2 linked regions of the Mus musculus genome follow. The protein of the gene in region 2 interacts with the protein of the main gene of each other region in a pairwise test. Links are inferred from orthologs where the notes say so. Each region holds a gene or a part of one and is shown on either strand. Other genes may lie near its edges.

Region 1 (10,935 bases), on a different chromosome or scaffold from region 2:
GTGATCTGTGGGCACTGCATGCAAAGCATGCATGTGGAGTTTATATATATATATATGTGTGTGTGTATGTATATATATGCATATATATGTATGCAAAAAACACACACATATAAAATAATGTTTAAATGAAAAATGTACATGGCCAGAGACAAAAAAAAACTAAAACACATATAACGTGGTAAATGTTTCTCCTCTGCTCCGTTACCAGAACTCCCCAGCTCCCACTGTCTCTCTCTCCCAAGGGGACCCCTATGTTGTATCTCTCCAATTTCTGAATGTATACGTGGATATACATAAATATGTACATGCTAAGAACAGATCTTTAGTTGAGGGGAAGGGAAATCACTTTCATTTAAAAGGGGGCGAGTTTAAATTCCTCAGATTCTTTGAGCTTTTGGAGAGACCATCCCTCCAGGCGTGGAGAAAAACACCTAGAAACGTTGAAGGCTGAGGATGACTTTGAACTCCTGACCTCTGCCTCCACCTCTCCTGTGCGGAGAATATAGGTGTCCTCCACCGTGCCCGGCTTATGCAATACTAGGGATTGAACCCGAGACTCAGTACACGTTACGTGAGCACTCTAGGTCCACCCCTAGCCTCCTTACTCATCTTCCAGGGCTTCACTCTTCGAGCTTCTCCTGGGCACCCATCGTTTAATCAGCACCGTGCTTTCTTTCTCGTGACACATAAATATTCACATATTTCTGACAAGTATTTCTGACGGCACATGGCAAATACTGTTCTAGATTTATTTCTATCGTATTGTCACCGAAAAACCTGTCATTCCCAGCTCTTGGGAAGCAGAGGCAGAAGGTCAGAAGTTCAAGGGCATCCTTTTTTATCTCTCTCTGCTGGAATCCCCTTCCGGGGTGCTTGGAATCCACCCAAAGCCTAGCATACGCGTGCGAGACCGGCAAGCACTCTACCACCGATCGCGATCCCCAGTCCAGACACAGAGGATTATAGTAAACTGTATGTCCCATAAAGCTCATCTCCGCAGACGTGTGAACCGATGGTTGCTTTTAATATAGTCGCAGGCATATGCGACTCTGATGTTAGAATATTTCCATCGCTTCAAAAAGAAACCCATTAGTAGCCACTCTTCAGCTTTCCTTTCAGACCCAAGTGCCCCTAATCTGTTTTAATAGATTATTAGTCACCCAGGACATTTCATGTAAGTAGAATTATATAACCATACAACTACGTGGTTATTAAATTAATGATTTTTTCTACCTGCCACGGTGTTTTCAAAGCTTATTTATGATGTAGCATTTATCAGCACTTTATTCCTTTTTATGGCTAAATATTAGTTCATCGAAATATATATATATATAATGTATGTGGGCCTTTTTGGACAGGGTTTTGTTGTGTAGCCCTGAAATTCCTTCTGTAGATCAGGTTGGCCTCAAGCTCAAAGAGCTCTGCCTGCCTCTGCCTCCTGAGTGCTGAAATTAGAGTCCACTGCCACAGTCCAGCTCATTGTGTAGATACTATTATTGCTTTAATCTATTGATGAATGTTTGGATTGTTTCAATTTTTTGGTTATCTCAAATAATGCTGCAGCTCGGTGTGGTGGTACAAGCCTGTAATCCTAGCCCTAGCCCCTGAGAGGGAGATATATGAGGATCCGAAATTCAAGGGCATCCTTGTCTACACAGGGAATAAAGGGCTAACGTGAGCTATGTAAGTTCTGGTCTCAAAAACAAAAAACAAAAAACAAAAACCCAAACAAACAAAAAAGCAAAATAAAGCCAGGGCTGGAGAGATGGCTTTGTTTGTAAAGCATTTGCCGTATAGTAAGATCCAGTCCTGGGGAGGTGGGAGTAGGCAGGTTCTTTGGGTTTGCTGAGGCTAGCCAATCATGGAGTTCAGGCTCAGTGAAGAACCTATCTGGAAAAGCAAGCCAGAGGGCTGGAGAGATGATGGCTCAATGGTTAAGAGCACTGACTGCTCTTCCAGAGGTCCTGAGTTCAATTCCCAGCAACCACATGGTGGCTCACAACCATCTGTAATGGGCTCCAATGCCCTCTTCTGGAGAGCAACAGTGTATTCATATACCTAAAATAAATAATTAAAAAAAAAAAAAAAAGGCAAGAGTTGTGATTATGGAAGACACCCTACCTGTATCTTCTAGTTTCCACATGCTTGTGTATTCCTTCCCACATAAACAGGTACACACACACACACACACACACACACACACACACACACACACACCAAGTAATGAGGCTGTGCACATTCCTGTATAAGTTCTTTTATGAACCTATGTTTCATTTTCTTAGAAATATACCTAAAAGCCAGGTATACCAGAACTTGGGAGGCAGAGGCAGGTGGATCTCTGAGTTTGAGGCCAGCCTGGTCTACAAAGTGAGTTCCAGGACAGTCAGGACTATACAGAGAAACCCTGTCTCAAAAAACCAAAAAAAGAAAAAGGAAAAAAAAACCCTAAAAACTAATACATATATACATATACACATACAAGCACATTATATATACACACATTATATATATACACACACACATATTTATATATATATAATTACACAAACACACACATACCTCTAAGAATGAATTGGCTGGATCTTATTGTAGCTGTTTCCCACCCCCCACCCCCCACCCCCTTTGGAGACAGAATCTCACTGTGTAGCCCTGGCTGGACTGAAACTATGTAGCCCAGGCTGGCCTTAAGCACAGCCAGCCTCCTGCCTCTGTCTCCCTACTGCTGACATAAAAGATGTGAGCCTGTCACACTCAGCTTGTTTAATCTTCTTGAGGAACTGCCAGGCAACTTTCCAAAACAATCAACCATTTAACATTGCCAGCAGGAAGGTTGGCGGGTCTGATCTCTCCGCAGCGGTTACCATCTTCCTCTGATCATAGCCATTCAAGAGGGCACAAAATGCTTGTTCTGAAGGTTATGAGAAAGGGAACGCCAACTGTCTTGTTCACTGTATGCTAGAATTTAGGAGAGTCTGGAACTTCTCAGTTTTAAATATTTTATTAGGGAATGGGTTATAGCTCACTAGTAGTGTACTTGCCCAGCATATATGAAGCCCTAGCTTTAATCTCCAGCACCTGAGTTGGGGGATAACTATATATGCATACATACACACACATACACACATGTGTGTAGTGAATAAGATGAAAACAACTTTGTTAAGATGGTTATAACGTATTTTTCAAAAGTAGATGTGTCAAGAATCTAGGTTTTTTTTTTTCTGTTTTCTGATTACCATAGTCTTTCTTCTGAGAAAAAAAAAATAGATGTTTCCTTTTTACAGACTGATTTTTATTTGTATGTGTATATGTCTACATGAGTGAGTGCTACCTATGTGCGGGTGCCAATGGAAACCAAAAGAGGTCATCTGATTTCTTGGAAATGATGCTTCAAATCAGACTCAGGTCCTCTGCAAGAGCAACGTACTTTCTTCTGAGTCATCCCTCCAGCCTCTAGTAGTTTTTAAAATTTTCTTCAGATCACTCAGTTCAGTTTTAGAAGTGCACACATTCCTGATTTAGACACAGATAATATTCTGGATATTATCTCAGTGTGTTTGTTTTATTTTTTTTAAAGATTTATTTATTACATGTAAGTACACTGTAGCTGTCTTCAGACACACCAGAAGAGAGCGTCAGATCTCGTTACAGATGGTTGTGAGCCACCACGTGGTTGCTAGGATTTGAACTCTGGATCTTCGGAAGAGCAATCGGGTGCTCTTACCCACTGAGCCATCTCACCAACCCTTACGTTTATTTTTATAAAATTTTATTTACTAATTTTTTTTTCAAGACAGGGTTTCTTTGTATAGCCCTGGCTGTCCTGGAACTCACTTTGTAGACCAGGCTGGTCTGGAACTCAAAAATCCGCCTGCCTCTGGCTCCCAAGTGCTGGGATTAAAGGCATGTGCCACCATGCCCGGCTACTAATTTTTTTTTATATATGAATGACTGTATGTATGCATGTATCATGCCTCTGGGGTTATGGATGGCTGTGAATCACCACATAGGTGCTTGGGATGAACCTGGGGCCTCTCTAAGAACAAACGCTCTTAACCCCTGTGCCAACTCTCCAGCCCCTAGATACACACACGCAATTTGGTTTTTTGTAACAGAGTTTCTGTGTGGCCTTAGCTGTACTGGAACTTGGTTTGTAGACCAGGCTGGCATGGAATTCAGAGATTGTCCTGCCTCTACCTCTCGAGTGGTGGGATTAAGGTGAGCACCACAGCCATGAAAATTTTTGCATTGGCTTTTCTTTTTCTTTTCTTTTCTTTTCTTTTTTTTTTCGAGACAGGGTTTCTCTGTATAGCCTTGGCTGTCCTGGAACTCACTCTGTAGACCAGGCTGGCCTCGAACTCAGAAATCCTCCTGTCTCTGCCTCCCAAGTGCTGGGATTAAAGGCATAGGCCACCACTGCCCAGCTTGTTCGAAGCTTTTAGCTCACCCCCAGCACTCTGTGCTTGCAAACAACCATCTTTCTGTGGCCTTCCAGGCTAGTCACACTGGAAGAGACAAGTCTATTAGCCCCTTTAAATCTCCCTCCAATTCCATTTTCGGAAGCACGGAGCCCACTTGACAGAGTGACAAGAGAAGGTCAGGTTAGTGACTGGGTGATGCTTACGGTGCTCAGAGCTGAGCACTTGAAAAATTATTTGCTCAAAGAATAAGCAAAGTGAAAATATGAGAAAGACTGGGACTGACCTGGCAAGGTGAGTCTCTGTTGCAAAATGCAATTTGGTCAACAAATATTTATTGAGTACTGTGCCCTTGCCTTGTGGCTCTATGTCAAAATATGGCTCTATGTCAAAATACATGATAAACAAAACAGCAATCGGCCTTGGGCAAGGAGTTTCTAAAACAGCTTTCCCGCTGCATGGTTCTTACTTTTTTTTTTTTTTTAATCCACCTATTGATTTTGAGGATTATATTCTAGCCTAAGGAATCGATTCAGACCCAAATAGTTGGTTCTGATCTAACGACAGCAAAGTCTAGGCGCCACTGGGGCACTGTTGTATCTCCTAACAGCTAATCCCAAATGTGTTTGGGTCCAAGCTGATTCCCTCCTCCCCCCCCCCCCCCGCCCCCCATGCTAAACTTCCTAAGGTTGGCTGGGGTCCTTGGATGGAGAACCTCCAAACGAATGGACAGCATATCCACCAGAGGGTGCTGTGAGGGCAGGTCTGTGGCGGGAGGGGAGCTCCCCCAGTGACCCTTCAAACCCAGGTAGGCTTTATTAGTTGGTTTTTCTTTCTTCTCGGTGTTTCCTTCCTACCCGCTAAAACCGTCGTTACCCCTCCCCCCACTCAGGGTCTCGTTTTGAAGACATTGATTCGACTTTCGCCGCGACTCCAGCAGAGCTGTGATCCAGAGGAAGTCTGACCTCTGTCGCAGACGCCCGGCGGCTGGAGACGTCCTGTCCCTGGACCGCCCGGGGCGCAGGCGGTAGGTGGGTGGGGACCTCCAAGGCCGCAGCTCGCTGCTGCGCCGCAGGGGCCGCGAAGGGGTTAACCCGGCGGGGGGGGGGGTGCGGGAGGAGGGAGGGGGCGCGGGCCGCGCGTGCGCTCTGCCGCCCTCCATTGTCTCCACGGCGGCGAGGAGCGCCGGCGAGCGCAGCCCGGGACGGAGCGGGGCGGTGCGGCTGGCTGGCGGGGCCGGCGGCGGCTGGAGCCGGAGCGCGACGCCACGCGACCGCGGCTTCCAGAGCTCCGCCTGGCTGCCCCACCGCCGCGAGCCCTCCCGAAGCCTGGAGGAGTGAGGGCCGCCGGCGCGGGCTGAGGAGTCCTGAGACGGGGGACGCGAACGGCGCGGCGCCCGGAGCCTCCGCCGCTTCCTGCTGCGGGCGAGCGGCCTCCTCCGGCTCCTCCCTCCCTTCGCTGCGGCTCCTTAGGCTCCGGAGCCCGGGGGCGGCCTGTGGCGCGAGGCGCCGGCTCTGGACCGCGCTTCTTCGGACCTTAAGGGGAACATGCATTCGGCTTGGACAGTTTGAAATTCTTAGTTTGGGGTCCCCGCTCGCTTGCTTTTTCCACCCCGCGGATTTTTTTTGAGGATTCCCCCCCTCACCTTTTTTCATTTTTCTCCCCTCGGGGCTCTTTTGTGACTCTCCCCAACCCCAACCCTCCGCCTTTATGTTCGCCCAGACCTCCACCCGCTTCTGAGTAGTGGGGGAGGGTTTCAGCCTCCACGTTCCCGCCCCACCGGGGCCCCGGCGAACATGGGGGGCAAGCAGAGCACGGCGGCCCGCTCTCGGGGCCCCTTCCCGGGGGTCTCTACGGATGACAGCGCCGTGCCGCCGCCGGGAGGGGCGCCCCACTTTGGGCACTACCGGACGGGCGGCGGGGCGATGGGGCTGCGCAGCCGCTCGGTCAGCTCGGTGGCGGGCATGGGCATGGACCCCAGCACGGCCGGAGGGGTGCCCTTTAGTCTCTACACCCCCGCCTCCCGCGGGACCGGCGACTCCGAGAGGGCGCCGGGCGGCGGAGGGTCCACGTCGGACTCCACCTATGCCCACGGCAATGGTTACCAAGAGACCGGCGGCGGTCACCATAGAGACGGGATGCTGTACCTGGGCTCCCGAGCCTCGCTGGCGGATGCTCTACCTCTGCACATCGCACCCAGGTGGTTCAGCTCGCACAGTGGTGAGTCCGCGGGTGACGGAGGCCTTGAAGGGTGGAGTGCAAGGGAGGGCGCGCCGGGGCGCCCGAAACCTCTTAATGTGCTAAGGTATGGGTATGAAGCTAACTCCTGCCCTTCCCCTGGTTCCTTCCATGTCAGAGGATGAATAGGATCAAATAAGATAACTACTGCCTAGGGGGAAAGCTGCCTACTAGGCGTGTGGAGCCGGGTACCTTAGGACTGCAGGCATGTGTTCACTTGTGGATGGCTGAGTGAAACCTGCCTATTGAGGTCGCATTTATTAGCGTCATGATCCTCAAAGGTCTTCTTGTCTGAGACTCTTCATTTCTGCCGCTGCAGCATGGTACCTACCTTTCTGGTTAAGGAGGTAGTGTCTCCTAAACAAAGAGTGAGAAAAGAAATAAAACTAGGGGCGAGTGATTCTTGGATTAGGGTTCTTATTCTCGCTAGGAAAGGGAGGTGGTTTGTTTTTCCACCCGACTGGTTTGCTGTATCAATTGTTTAAAATGGAACAGGAGGCTGGCTTAGACAGGTGTGGTCTGCTATGTGGAAAGCCTCCGTCTTTGGGTTTGCAGGACCAGGATTCTGGTCTGCATGCAGTAGATTTGGCTCAGGGATTCTCACATCCCTCCATCTTTTTTCCCCTGCTCCACGATAAGTGCTTGTTCTTCCCGTGATTGTGCATCTTTTTTTTTTTTTTTCTTTTCATAGAGCCCAGGAGAGGTGGGGTGGTATTGCCCCACAGCTGGCACATGACTAGGGAAGAGGAAGATGGAAAGGATGGAGATGAACTCATTCTGTGCACTTCTGGTGACAGGCCAGGAAAAGGCTGGAGGGGGATTTCCCAGGCCCTGGCTGGTGGTAGGGCAGCAAAGGCCTGGCAGAGACTTCTACAGGAAAACAGGTCTGTCTGCTTGGCTGTCCTGAGAAGCCAGGGCAGGCCTCTAGAAAACTGGTCAAAAGGGGTGTGGGGTTGCTGCTTGTTAACTACCAGTCTGAGTGAAGCAGTTAAGTATTCAGACTCTTGTGCCTGAACTGGGCAATTTTTGTTGCTGTGTAGGAGAAATCATTCTCCTGTCCTCAGGGTCCATTATGGAGGGCTTACCTGTGAGGTCACTGTTGTAGCTCATTGCAAAACAAGGTAGGGTTTGTTTTGTCTTGTTTGGTTTTGTATCTTTCCTTCTTTTGATCAATTCCATAATTTTTGAAGTAACTTTGGTGGGTTATAGTGGCTGGCTTAGAGCTTCTTTGACTTTAACTAAAATGCTGGACATCAGACACAAGGCATGTCTGCTTTTGGTACCCTCTAGTCATTTGGTCTGTGTTGGGCATGTTGGAATTAATAATCTTCCCTAAATAGTTGAGTCCAGAAGTCTCAGCTTTATTTCGAGACGATTATGAGTACACTTGTAAGTGAACTGTTATTGGCATGCTTTTAAAACAATTTTGAGTGCAGCAAGCAAATACCTTTATAAAAGCTTATATGGGGAGGGAGAAAAGGAGTTATCGTTTTGGTAAGATTTCTTAAGTCTGTCTCTTAATAGAAACTTCATTATCCTTGTTCTATTGTCAGGTTCTCTGATAGAGTTATGAACTTACAACTGAGTTCCAATATCTCACACTCTCCAGATATGAAGGCTTAGTGTTCTCCCCACCATCTTACTCCCACCCAGTCACGGGAGTAGGGAGTCCCACTGAGTGATGGGAATACAAGAAAAGTTAGAGTCATCCTTTGGGTGTCTTTAAAGTGTACGTGGCAGGCTCTTGTTAACATTATAGGTAATATTTGTATATATTTACTTATTTTTAGTATATAGAACCACCTGTGCTTTTTGCAAGACTCTGGGCCTATTGAATGCTCCTGGCATCCTGCAGTTCACCTCATACTGCCTCTGAATTCCCAAATGGCTTTTATTGGGGTGGGTGTACCAGTCTGACTGTGAGCTGCCTGTGCTGTTCAGCAGAGGTGAGCATTCATTTGTGTCAGTGTTAGAACAGGCCGTGGAATTTTCTGGGGCATCCTTTTCTCTTGTTCTTGGCTGCAAGGAGAGACGCTGCTGTTTCGCTGCTGTCTCGGCTGTGGAGCCTTGGAGTTAGGTCTGAGCAGCTTTTGCTCTTGTGTAAGATTCCAAAGGTGGGGCTTTCAGTGTTTGACTGACTGCGGGCCTGGAAACTGGTACAGTGTTAGTACTTGGGTTTTCAAGGTGCTTTGGTGACTCCTCACAAGCAGAGAGCTGTCATTAAAGAAATAAGTCAAAGCTGTGGGCTTGTGCTGTGTTCCAAAGTAGAATACTGAGGGCTTCCAGTTTTAGGTCCTCTGCTGAGTAACTTTGACCTTGGACAAGACACAGCACTTTTCTCTAGGCTCATCTTTGTTATTTTAAAAATAGATGTGGTAATCCTCCGCGGTGGCAGCTTGTAACGGTTGTTCTCTAAACCCCAGGAGAGGATATTCTGCAATTGCGCTTGGCTTCCGTGCTTCTGTGTCCCTGTGCCTTCCTCATGGCTGTGACCCTCGAATACTGAGCTCCTTAGGACAGAAATGCTAGCTCTTACTTTCTTCACATAGATAGCTCCTTTGAACCCTTTAGGACTCAACAGAGATTTTTTTCCTCAGTGGGCACTCTTAACATCTGACTTTCTTTTTTTTTTTTTTTTTTTTTTTTGCATGTTTTATAAGCATTTATCTGCTGACTTATTTTTCTTCTTGTAGTGTGACTAAGTTTTCATTTCTGGAAGGCCAGGACCAGCTCTTGAGTGCTGCTGTAACGCTTACACTGCTCAAGTATTTGCTGGATGAAAGAACTTGAATGGCTTATGTGCATCGTCTTATTCATTACTGTAACTCTACTCCTAGTTTACAGGGGAGGTGAGGAGCCCAGGCAGCTGGCTGTAGTTAGCAGAGGTGAGACTGGAGTGCAGGCCCAACAGTGCCAGAACACTGGCTCTTTTTATCGATTACTTTGTTTTGTTTATGTGATTATTTATTGTTTGTTTTGAGACAGTGTCTTAGTATGTAATCTCAGTTGGCCTCAAACTTATTTAATACAGGTTGGCTTTGAACTTTTAATCCTTAGTTTTCATCTTCTGCAATGTTTCAGTTATAGGTATATGTTGCTTATGTTCAACTGTGCTCTAAGACACCACTCTGGCTCCCTTTTTTTTTGTCTGTTTCCAGGAAATAGTACCCTGGAAACGTAACTAGCCACTAAGTGGGAAGAAGGGTAGGCTCATGATAAAGGGCCTGACTCTTAACCTTGAGCAGATAGATGTGTAGTTCCAGGCTTTAGTACATCTTCATCTGTAGATGTCTGTCCTCGGAGTCCTGCGGTCATTGGTGAGGGTCTTTTGTGACAGTATACACCAAAGCAAAAGGCAAAGGGAATCCAAGTGGAACACTGATGGCCTTGTGGGGACAAGGCTATTGTTCCTGCCTTCTCTGTCTCCTTAGAACTCATAGACAGAGCTCCACACGAGAATAAGAACATAGGCCCCAGCTGGAGGCCCTGCTGTCTGGAGTCTCTGCCTTGTATCCTGTTCTCCTATCATTGCCAGGGGAGAAATCCTTTGAGAAGCATGTGCAGCCCTTTCCTTCCACCGGACAGGTGCTGGGCTTGTCCTGAGGTGATTCTGTCTGTGGCTTTTGGTTTTCTGATGCTAAAGGCCTGGCTGGCCATTCTTTTTTGTAGTAGTCCTGTTAACCTTGGAGACGGGGTTTCCAAATGTGGAGAGGAAACATGAAGTATCCAATCCACCTGTGAGGTGAGCTTGCTGTGTTCTACTGTAAAATGGGGTGTGGCTGGCTACTGGGGTGCGGCTGGCTACAGGGGTGGTGTTTGTTTGGTCTGGCTTCTTAGTCATGTTTGTGTATACATATGTATATTCAAAAAAATCCAAATTTGTTTTGTATTTTAACCAACTCACCGACTAGGGCTAAGATGGAGTGACTTAAAAAAGGGTCTGAATATGCTAGCAGCATGTCTCCTGGGTTCTAGTTTGCTGTCACACTAGGATTTCCAAACTTTTTTCTAGTCTTAAATAGTGAGGAACAGTTGTCAAATCTATTTGAGTGGCTCAGGAAGTCTTTGTGTCTCACTGTAGGTATGCTAGAGGTAATGGGCCTTTTTGAGTCTTCTGAAAAAGGAAAAGCATTCTGTGGTCTCTAAAAAGCGAGATCCATTCCCTGCCCAGCTCTGCAAAAAAGTTCCAGCCTTAATGAAGACTTGATTTTTAATGTAGAATTTTTAGTTTTCTATTACCACAAGGGGCTTATTTTCCATGCCTCCTTCAGGCAAAGATAAT
Region 2 (9,643 bases):
GGGACAACACCTATACACATAAAAATAATAATAAAGTTTGTTTGAATTCCCTAGAGAAGGCTGAAATGGGACTCTGATGTAGAGTTTTTGCTTAGCTACCATGAAGAAAATGTGAGAGCCCCAGGATTTGGACCCATTTGAAATTTTCTTACTTCTTGTTAGACACTCCCTATTGGAGAGTGGAGTGTTGGTGTAATAAGAATTAGGAATTTGTAGGGATGCCATTCTTGACTGGGTACTGAAGCCAGTCTCCTTCCCTTTAGTGAGGAAGTTACAACTCCTTGGGCCCACTTTGTTCCAGTAAAGATGTCTAGATTTCCTGGACACCAGTGACGTGTGGTGTGGGAGCCAGGTCTTGTACAACCTGCTTAGGTTTGTCTTTGGTCCACACGTTCTTTCCAAGGGTTGGTGACCTTGTACCCAGCATTTTCATCTCCTCTTCCTGTACAGACTTTTACACAGATGCTCACTAAAACATGCCTCTCCCCTTAGTCCACCACACCGTAAAAGTCCTAGGTATGCTGAGTGCGTAGGTCTTATGGAGAGGGCAGTGTTGGAAGAAAGGATCTACCCTATAGCAAAAAAAGACAGGATAAGAAATGAATTGTGGGACCTGCTGTACTGGGTCAGGCATTTAGTTCCAGCATGCAGAGCCAGGTGAGTTTGAAGTGATCCTGATCTAGCAAGTTCCAAGACAGCCAGGGAACTGTCTCAAGGTGGGTGGGGAAAGTAAAAGAAAGGGATTTTTGAATAATGTTGTCAGGGAATATAGACAGTTGTGGACTGGATTTTGACTCTAACAGAACTAAGTACTTCCAGGATTGATCTCACTGCAGAGTTATAGTAAGAGTGGGGAAAGCTACAATAAAATGATAATTAAAAGCCAAACCCTAGGAAAAGATAATTTGTATTGCCAGTTACTGTCCTCTATAGCTGACCTTTAAACTTGAGTGTATTTAGGAATCATTTAGGGATCTAGTTAGAAAGTAAGTGTGTGCATTTCTAATAAAATCCCAAGGGGTGGTAATGTTGCTTACTTAGGGACCACACTAATAGCACAAATCCAACAGTAATAATAGCCATATGCATTTCTTTTTCTAAAGCAGGCACAGAGCAGTAAAACAATGATAGCTATTATTGTAACAAAACTACAACTCTTTCCTTTCTAAGCTTGACCTTGAGCCATGCTCTCCAAGGCAGGGCTTCCTGGCCTCAGCACTGCCGGGATCTGCAGCTGAAGTAATTGTTTTGTGCTTTGTAGAGTGTACTTCAGGGTGCTTAGTGCTGACCTCTACCTACCAGGTACTAGCAGTACCCGCCTTCCCATGTGTAACAATCCAGAAGTGACTTCAATGCAGGTGAAGGTTTGATGTTAGCCTCTGTGGCCAGTTGGCAGTCTTAACCCTCTTGCTCCCAAGGGGTGCCTTTTATGGAGTAGCAGTCAAATCATGAGTGCCAGAAAATCTTGGGCTCTGTTTTAAAACATTGTTAGCTCACATGGACATCAGAACCCTTTTCTCTACTCTCACTTCCTGCTGATGTCTACTTGTCTGCTTCTAGCTCAGCTTTCACGGTCCTTTATTTTTTTTCAATCCCAGCACTCTGGAGGTAGAGGTAAATGGATCTCAGATTCAAGGACAGCCTGGTCCACATGTGTATGGAAAGTTGGTTCTGTCCACCATGAGGGTTCTGTGGATTGAACTCGGGTCATCAGGTTTGGCAGCATATGCCTTTACCTGCTAAACCATCTTGCCAGCCTGACAATGAAGAGTTTTCTGTGGCAGTTTGGTAGAATAGTGTTGATTGAACTTTAAAGGCCTTAGCTCTCCTCTGTCACTTCGGGACAAGATATCCAAGACTTAAGTGCTAGCAGTTTTAGTGCAGTGAGGAACCATTTCTTAGTTTCCAGACAGCTGTCTTGTTGCACTAATCCTCGGCAGGTAAGAAGCAAATGTTCTGGTGGTGAGGTCTTATTTAGGACACTAAGCTTATACATAATGACTTCTACTTTCTTGACCTGACTGTCCCCAAAGGCCCAACCTCCTAGTGACCATCCCACTGGAAGCAAGGGACACAAACAGGCTAACTTTTGATAATTGAGAACCCATTCTGTTCTCAGTAAACGAAGAAGCAAAGGTAACTTTTTACTAGGGGGATCATAGTATATTCCTAGGAGAGAGCTGGTTAAGATCTTGTTGGAGGCTGGAGAGATCACTCAGCAGTTAAGAGCACCTGATTCTCTTCCAGAGGATCCAGTCAGTTTCCAGTATCTGTGTCAAGCAGCACACAACCACATGTCACTCCAGCTCCAGGGATCTCATGCCCTCTGACTTGTAAGAGCAGGCAGTGTGGGGGCGGGGGGGATACACAAATAGAAATAAATCATTTTTTAGTCTTTCCCTGTACCCTACCTTAGTAGTAAGAAATTACTACTACAAAGAGTATTACTACTCTATAGGTCTTAGAATCGGAGTGCAAGTTTTACTGCTGTTGCTAAGGTACTTGAATACAGAGCACTCTGGAAGCCAATGCAATATTTTAGAAGGATGGTATAGCCGAGTAAGGGTACAACCAAGTATATTGTATTTAACAAGAATGGGGTTTGGTTAATGGCTAATGAAAGTTCGTGTTTAGTTTAACACTGAAGTGAAAACTGATTACATCATTGACATTCGCCTCTCTCACTCACTAATTTTTATAAGGTAGGAAGTATAGGCACCAACTTGGAATTACCCATGACCCAGCATTTGTGAGGGCTGAGTGACTTTGAAGACAGTTTGAGCTACTCTGTCTCAGAGGGCCAGAAGATCTTCTAGCTAAAGCAAGTGTGTGTGTGTGTGTGTGTGTGTGTGTGTGTGTGTGTGTGTGTGTAGGCTGGCTGGAAGTCAAATGTTGTATGTCTTTATGTCAGTGTGGAGTTTAAAACTCTGCCAAGTACTTTAGTTAGGGCAAAAATTCTTGTTATTTACCAGAAATGATGCAGCAATGAGAAAACTTGTCACTGAATGAAAAATGAGGACATGATCACTCCTAGGTATGGTTAGATTTTATTGTAGATAAAGGGGAGAACAGGCAGAGACATTGGGAGAGTCCAGACTGAGCCAAGCTAACAGACTGAATGGAGTTATTGGGCATGGGGATGGGGAGGACAAGAAAAGGGGGGTGGGGCAAGCTGACCAAGAGTGAAACAAGAGCTCAAGATTGCGGTGTGGACCAAGAGAGCCATAGTCAAAATAGCTGAGCAGTACAATGAAGAGAAGGTGGGGGAAGGGAAGCAGAAGCCCTGTCCCCAGGTCTCACCCTGGCCTGGGTGAGAAGTGTTTGGAGAAGCCACAGGTACTGAGATTTGCCCTGAGTTTCTTTGAATCATAATAGTCAGCGGCTTATATTCTAAGAAACGAATCTTTAATTGATGTTTACCTTACGCTTGAGAGTTGAAGAAAGTTCATGTCTAGCTGCAGCTAGAGTGTTTAGAATGGGTCTGGTGTTCTTCTGTCCTGGCTCACTACCATATTCTTTATGAAGAGAACCCAGACATTAAACCAAAAGGATAAGGGGAGGGTTTTTTTCCCTTTTCTGATGCAATGTCACCATGTCTTTATCTGCTCCTGTATTATTTCACAGTGCTGGTCCCAAGGGTGACAACATCTATGAGTGGAGATCAACCATTCTGGGTCCTCCAGGGTCTGTGTATGAAGGTGGAGTATTCTTCCTTGACATTACTTTTACACCAGAGTATCCTTTCAAGCCTCCAAAGGTAAGGAGTCTCCAGTGTCTCCTGACATTAACTGTTCCTTGAGAGAGATCAAGTTTTCATTGTAATCACAAAAGCTAGAGTCTTCCATTTGTGTGCTGCTGTCCTGTTAAAGCATGTTAGTAACAGCTGTGTGTACTGCGGTACAGTCTAGATCTGTGTGGCAGAAGAGCTCAGCTTCCTTCTGTGTATTGTTTGCCAGTTTTAAGTGAATGTGATGACTGTTGGTTGGGTTGGCTCCTCAGTAGGCAATAGGCATTTCTAGATGTAAATGCTTAAAACTGTGCTAGTTATTGTCTAGCTTGTTAGATTTTACGCACACTCCGAAGCAGTGTATTACTTCCAGCTAACACAAGAGGTCAGCAAACAACTAACAATCCAAACTTAAGACATAGTCATATTTAGAACATTAAAATTAAGCCAGATGTTACTAGTAGCACATATCTGGAAACAGAAGCAGGCAGAGGGATCAAAAATTTGCAGCTACTTTGGGATATATGGTACCAGACTAGCCTGATCAAGAAAAGAAAAAATGAAAAAAAAAAAAAACCAACAAAAAAAAAAAAAAGAAAAGAAAAAATGTAAAGAAGTATCTGGCAGTGGGTACTGCTGTAAAATGAGATGGAGAATTGAGTGTGGCCTCACTTCAACAGCGTCTACCTGAAATGTCATAATGCCTCCTACATGAATGCTGCTTGACAACTGCCTTATTTTTAGGTTACATTTCGTACAAGAATTTATCACTGTAATATTAATAGCCAAGGAGTTATTTGCTTGGACATATTGAAAGACAACTGGAGCCCAGCCCTAACCATCTCGAAAGTCCTCCTTTCTATCTGCTCACTCCTTACAGACTGCAATCCTGGTAAGACGAATAGTCATCTGCACTGTATTTCTTACTAAATGTTTCTTGTTTTCCACATAAGCTAAGACCATTAAAGGACATTTTAATCAATTGTTTAGTGCACTAGTTGGAAAAGGCAGCTACTCTGAGCTCACTAAGGCTGGGTGCAGCTCTGCTGCCAGTTTTGATGAGGATTCACTGAGCACTTGACCACAGCCAGTGCTCACTTTAGAAAGAGGTATTTTTCTGCACTTGGTAATTTCAGAATTGTAATCTTATTGGGACTAATTGTTTTTAAAAAGAAAGAAATTATTTATTTTTCTGCTTAAATATACAAATTTAACTAGGCATTCCATTTTCAGAGAAACACATTTATTTGGAAGTCTGGGTTTTTGGCCTTTTCTAGGTATACATTATACAATAGATACTGCCAATTGCACCAGCCAGAGAGACTTCCCAATATCTACAGCTCTAATTGGTTGAACAAAGTTGGTCTTGGAGCCTTGGTCATACACATGGAGAACAAAGAGTGTCACTTGTTGAGAGAGAACTAAAGTAGAATAAGAAAATGAAGCCAAGGCCACTCCTCCCACCCTTCTAGATAAGATTAGATGAAGGGCTAAAACAGTGGCCCAGCTGAAGAGCAAGTGTTCTTGCAGAGGGGTTCAGCTTCCAGCACCCACTAGGGGCCCACATCCATAACCTGCAAACAGAGTACCCAAAAACATAAAATAAACCTTTTTAAAAACTGTTTTTAAAGATTAGAAGAAAACACCTTCTGACAGTGAGTGTTTCAGACATGGGCAAAGTATCTGATTTTCTTTCTCCAAAGTAACATACATGTTTTTCTTCCAGCTGACCCTTTGGTGGGAAGTATTGCCACTCAGTACATGACCAACAGAGCAGAACACGACAGAATGGCCAGACAGTGGACCAAGAGATACGCTACATAAACTGGGTTTTCAGTTCTTACATGACTTGTCTGTCACAGAAGAGAGCTGCTTATGATTTTGAAAGGGTGGGGGTGGGAGTTGGTAAAGAGTAGGCTATTTCTATATCAGATATTATTCAGTCTTACTTCCCAGGATTTTGTTGTAACTTAAGGTATCTTGCTACAGTAGACAAACTGGTAATAGCGACTTTTAGAGCTGAAACTTTGCAAGATTAGCTGACTTTTAGTACAAAAGAAAGCATGTGTAGATACTTGTGTTCCATTGATCAGCTTAAATTTGTATAGGTACATGTCATTTATGTAAAGTCCTATTTTCTTGTTCAAAAAAAATGGAATTTGTTTTTCCTTCTTAAAAGGAAACAATGGTATTTAACAAGTTTGCAAAGATGAGTTTGTTACCTCGTATATGTAAAATGGACACCTGGCTACAAGACACCATGTAGTTAATGTATTTTATCTTATATGCAAATTACTTCAAGGGTTGAATCACAATTTGTGGAAACCTGTAGTGAAATACCTTAAGCTGTTAACTGTAAGTGTGGAATAGGAATTGTTCAGTCAATTGGTTTAGACTTCTTACGTCTGCATTTGTGCTAATAAACAATATTAAGAACAACTACTGACCCTGCTGTGTTCATTTCCTCTCTGCAGTCTTTGCTTCTGAAAGCAGGTTAAGGAATACTTATCACTTAATATATGCCAGAGCTGATACTTACACAGCACATTTTGGAGATGTCTTTTTATGACTTTATTTATGTGTATAAATAAAGATACTGTAGCTGTCTTCAGACACACCAGAAGAGGGCATCAGATCCTTTAAAGATGGTTGTGGTTGCTGGCCATTGAACTCAGGACCTCTGGAAGAAGTAGTCAGTGCTCTTAACCCCTGAGCCATCTCTTTAGCCCCCTGGAGATATCTTAAAAACAATAAACAGCCAGGCAGTGGTGGTGCACGCCTTTAATCCCAGGCTTGGGAGGCAGAGGCAAGTGGATTTCTGAGTTCAAGGCCAGCCTGGTCTACAAAGTGAGTTCCAGGACAGCCAGGGCTACACAAAGAAACCCTGTCTCAAAAAACAAAACAGTGTAAGCCAGCTAAAGCGTCAAAGATATACTCAATGCCTGTTGCTCAAAGCATTTTCTGATCTGCAGATGAAGTGGCAGCAGACACAGGAGAAATGAGCCACTCTGGTGAGCTGGTGCTCATCTTGCAGAGCAGGCTCAGTGACTCAGTAGCACTGCTGCTGGCTATGGCTCCAGCCTCAGTCAAGTGAACGCTGAGCATAGTAGCATTCACACACCTTCATCCCAGGGTGATTGGATGCCAGAGGATTAAAGTTCAGAGTCATCCTCAGCTACACACTGGGTTTGAGACTAGCCTAGGCTACATGACACCCAGTCTCAAAAAGCATTTTAATTACATAAACAATTCCACGTATATTAAAGCACAAGATCTAAATGCAGCCAAAAGAAAAAACAGAAACACCAGGCAGGATCTATATAAAATATATCAGAAGACAAAGCTGAGAGAAAAGTACCTGGAAGGGCGGGCTGACTTAACCTGAGAGATAACCAAAAAAGTATGTTTTTTTAAAAAAAGAATTGGCCAAGACTGTGTATAATGGTACAGAACTTTAATCCCAGCTGAGGAGGACTTGAGATCAAGGCTAGCCTGGTCTACATAGTTCCAACCAGCCAGTGTTTAGTGGGATGAAGGGCAAACCGGGTGGCTGTAGTCCCAGTATTCAGGGTGTCTGGGCACAAAGATTCCAAGTTCAAAGCCTGGGTAATTTATTAAGACCCTTTCTCGCCCGGCAGTGGTGGCACACACCTTTAATCCCAGCACTTGGGAGGCAGAGGCAGGCTGATTCCTGAGTTCAAGGCCAGAATGAGTTCCAGGACAGCCAGAGCTACAGGGAAAAACCCTGTCTCGAAAAGCCAATAAACAAACAAACCCTTCCTTAAAAAGGCTAATGATACAGCTTGAGTTCAGTCTACAGTACCAACAGAAAAGCAAGCAGCAGCAATGCTCATGGTTGAAGGAAGGTTCCGTACTTAATGCATTCTTTACCTTGTTTCATATTTTGCTTTTCAGTTAAATGGTTAAAGATTATTTACAGTTGAAAACACTAAACAACTTATTTCCTAGTTCTTTGTATAGGGTTGGCAATCTTTTTTAAAAGATTTTCCATAAATTAAATTGTAAACTCAGATTAATATGGAAAACTAATGGTAACTCTATTTCTGGCATTTTATTGTATATGGCAAGGTTATTAGAAGAAAAGGGATGTTTCCCTGTTCTCCAGCCTAGCCATTTTCAAAAGACCCTCTAGTATTTAATTTTATCACCAGCACAGGCCTAGCTTATAGAATAAAATCAGGGCGCTGAATACAAAAGCACCTCGTCCTAACCCTAAGATCTTAATACTTAATAGAGCAAAACAAAACCACCACTCTTGTTCTGTTCAGCAAAGCCTCTGTAAAATGAGAATTTAGAGATCCAGATTGTTATTGGGACAATTTAAGTACACAAAGCAATTGCCAAGCTCTATAATCTTAGATGATTAACCTTAGATATTATTCTATGTGTATGAGTGATTTTCTCTGCTTGTATATATGAGCACTAAGTGTATGAAATGCCTGAAGAAACCAAGAGAAGACACTGGATCCCTTGGAATCTGTTAAAGGTGCTACAAGTTCTGCAAGGCGTCGGCCTTACCTGCTGAGCAATCTCTCTAGCTCTGTGTAAGACAAGAGTTCTGGGCCTGTGACTCAGTGGGGAAGGCGCTTTGCCAAGCGAGCCCAGCCACCCCTGTTATTCATGCGTTTATGGAAGGATAAGGCATTTGCATAAAATTACAATGAGTATGAGAGTCCTGACAAGCTGGAAGAGTTCCCATGGTATATTGCATACTCTAAATTTTATTTTGCTATTATTGACAAGTGCAGAATAAATAACAAAATAAGAACAGGTTTCAAATAAAGGCAAAAAATAATGTCCAACAGCAATAAACTAGGTTAATTATAAAGTAATTAACTTAATTAGAAAGTGCATTAAATTACCACTTAGGGGTTCCATTAGGCCCAGAGGTGATCTGAGAAGGGCCACGTTAAATCGTAACCTCATGCCAGGCTACAGACATTTCAAGGCTTGACTCAGTTTTCGGGATTGGAGTTCCCTTTGTTTTTCCTCCCAGGCAAAGGGAAGCTGGATTTGCTCTGGGGCTGAGAAAGCTTGCTGGCCAGTAAAGTGAAGGGTTCAATCAGTGTCCTCCGGTCTGTCACTGTCACCTCCCACAGCTTGACTTTCTCACTTCTTGCCCACTGTTGTGCCACGTCAGCATCCACCTGTCTCTGCTCAGAAAGGTCCAGTTTGTTTCCTAACACAACGATTGCCACCTGGACAAAAAATGACCAAAGACCACAATAGTAACCATCCATAGCAGCTTACAGGAAAACTGTATAAGTAATTACTGCTCTTCCATTTAGCAAACTGCTTTGTTTAGATGATGTTGAGGAAACGAAAGCAGTAAACTCAGCTGCTCTGGAGTTGAACTAGGAAGATTGCAAGTTCAAGACCAGTCTGGGCAATCTAGTTAAACCTTGTCTAAAAAGTTGGGCAAGTACAGAACTTACCTACCAAGTATGAAGCCTTAATACTCGGCTGTCAGGGGAACCCTCAGATGTGACAAATATGACAACATGGCTCTCTTCTGGCCTCCACAGGCACCTGCACTCGTGCATATAATTCCTCCCACCTCCCCACACAGACATAATTAAAATTAAGTTTTTAACATATTTTTTAAAAGATGGCCAATCAGCCAGGCAGGCATGGTGGTGTACACCTTTAATCCTAGAACTTGGGAGGCAGAGGCAGGACGATCTCTCTGAGTTTGAGGCCAGCCTGGTCTACAGAGTTCCAGGACAGCCAGGGCTATATAGAGAAACCCTGTCTCAAAAAAAAAAAAACAAAAACAAAAACAAAAACAAAAACAAAGCAAACAAATATATAAAATGTAAGAATCTGGGCTAAGCCATCGAGCAGACTATTAACGTGGGTGCTGGACGGCTCTGAGGTTGCTGACTGAGCTGAGGT

The links. The genes of interacting proteins can lie anywhere in the genome.
Region 1: the proteins of Ube2e1 (region 2) and Znrf1 interact in binary tests that used the Homo sapiens proteins (3 or more experiments, as listed by UniProt). The link is inferred for Mus musculus from reciprocal best matches to the Homo sapiens genes UBE2E1 and ZNRF1.

Annotation. Positions count from the first base shown.
Region 1 is NC_000074.6:111,530,930-111,541,864, forward strand, and holds the start of Znrf1 (E3 ubiquitin-protein ligase ZNRF1), read left to right. Parts: upstream 1-5,710; 5' UTR 5,711-6,211; coding exon 6,212-6,635; exon of another isoform or gene 6,636-6,720; intron 6,721-7,372; exon of another isoform or gene 7,373-7,404; coding exon of another isoform or gene 7,405-7,537; intron 7,538-10,935. UniProt on the Homo sapiens protein: E3 ubiquitin-protein ligase that plays a role in different processes including cell differentiation, receptor recycling or regulation of inflammation. Mediates the ubiquitination of AKT1 and GLUL, thereby playing a role in neuron cells differentiation.
Region 2 is NC_000080.6:18,279,250-18,288,892, reverse strand, and holds the end of Ube2e1 (ubiquitin-conjugating enzyme E2 E1), read left to right. Parts: intron 1-3,624; coding exon 3,625-3,757; intron 3,758-4,471; coding exon 4,472-4,619; intron 4,620-4,889; exon of another isoform or gene 4,890-5,453; coding exon 5,454-5,551; 3' UTR 5,552-6,164; downstream 6,165-9,643. Other genes in the region: Nkiras1 (NF-kappa-B inhibitor-interacting Ras-like protein 1), read right to left, coding at 8,704-8,946. UniProt on the Homo sapiens protein: Accepts ubiquitin from the E1 complex and catalyzes its covalent attachment to other proteins. Catalyzes the covalent attachment of ISG15 to other proteins. Mediates the selective degradation of short-lived and abnormal proteins.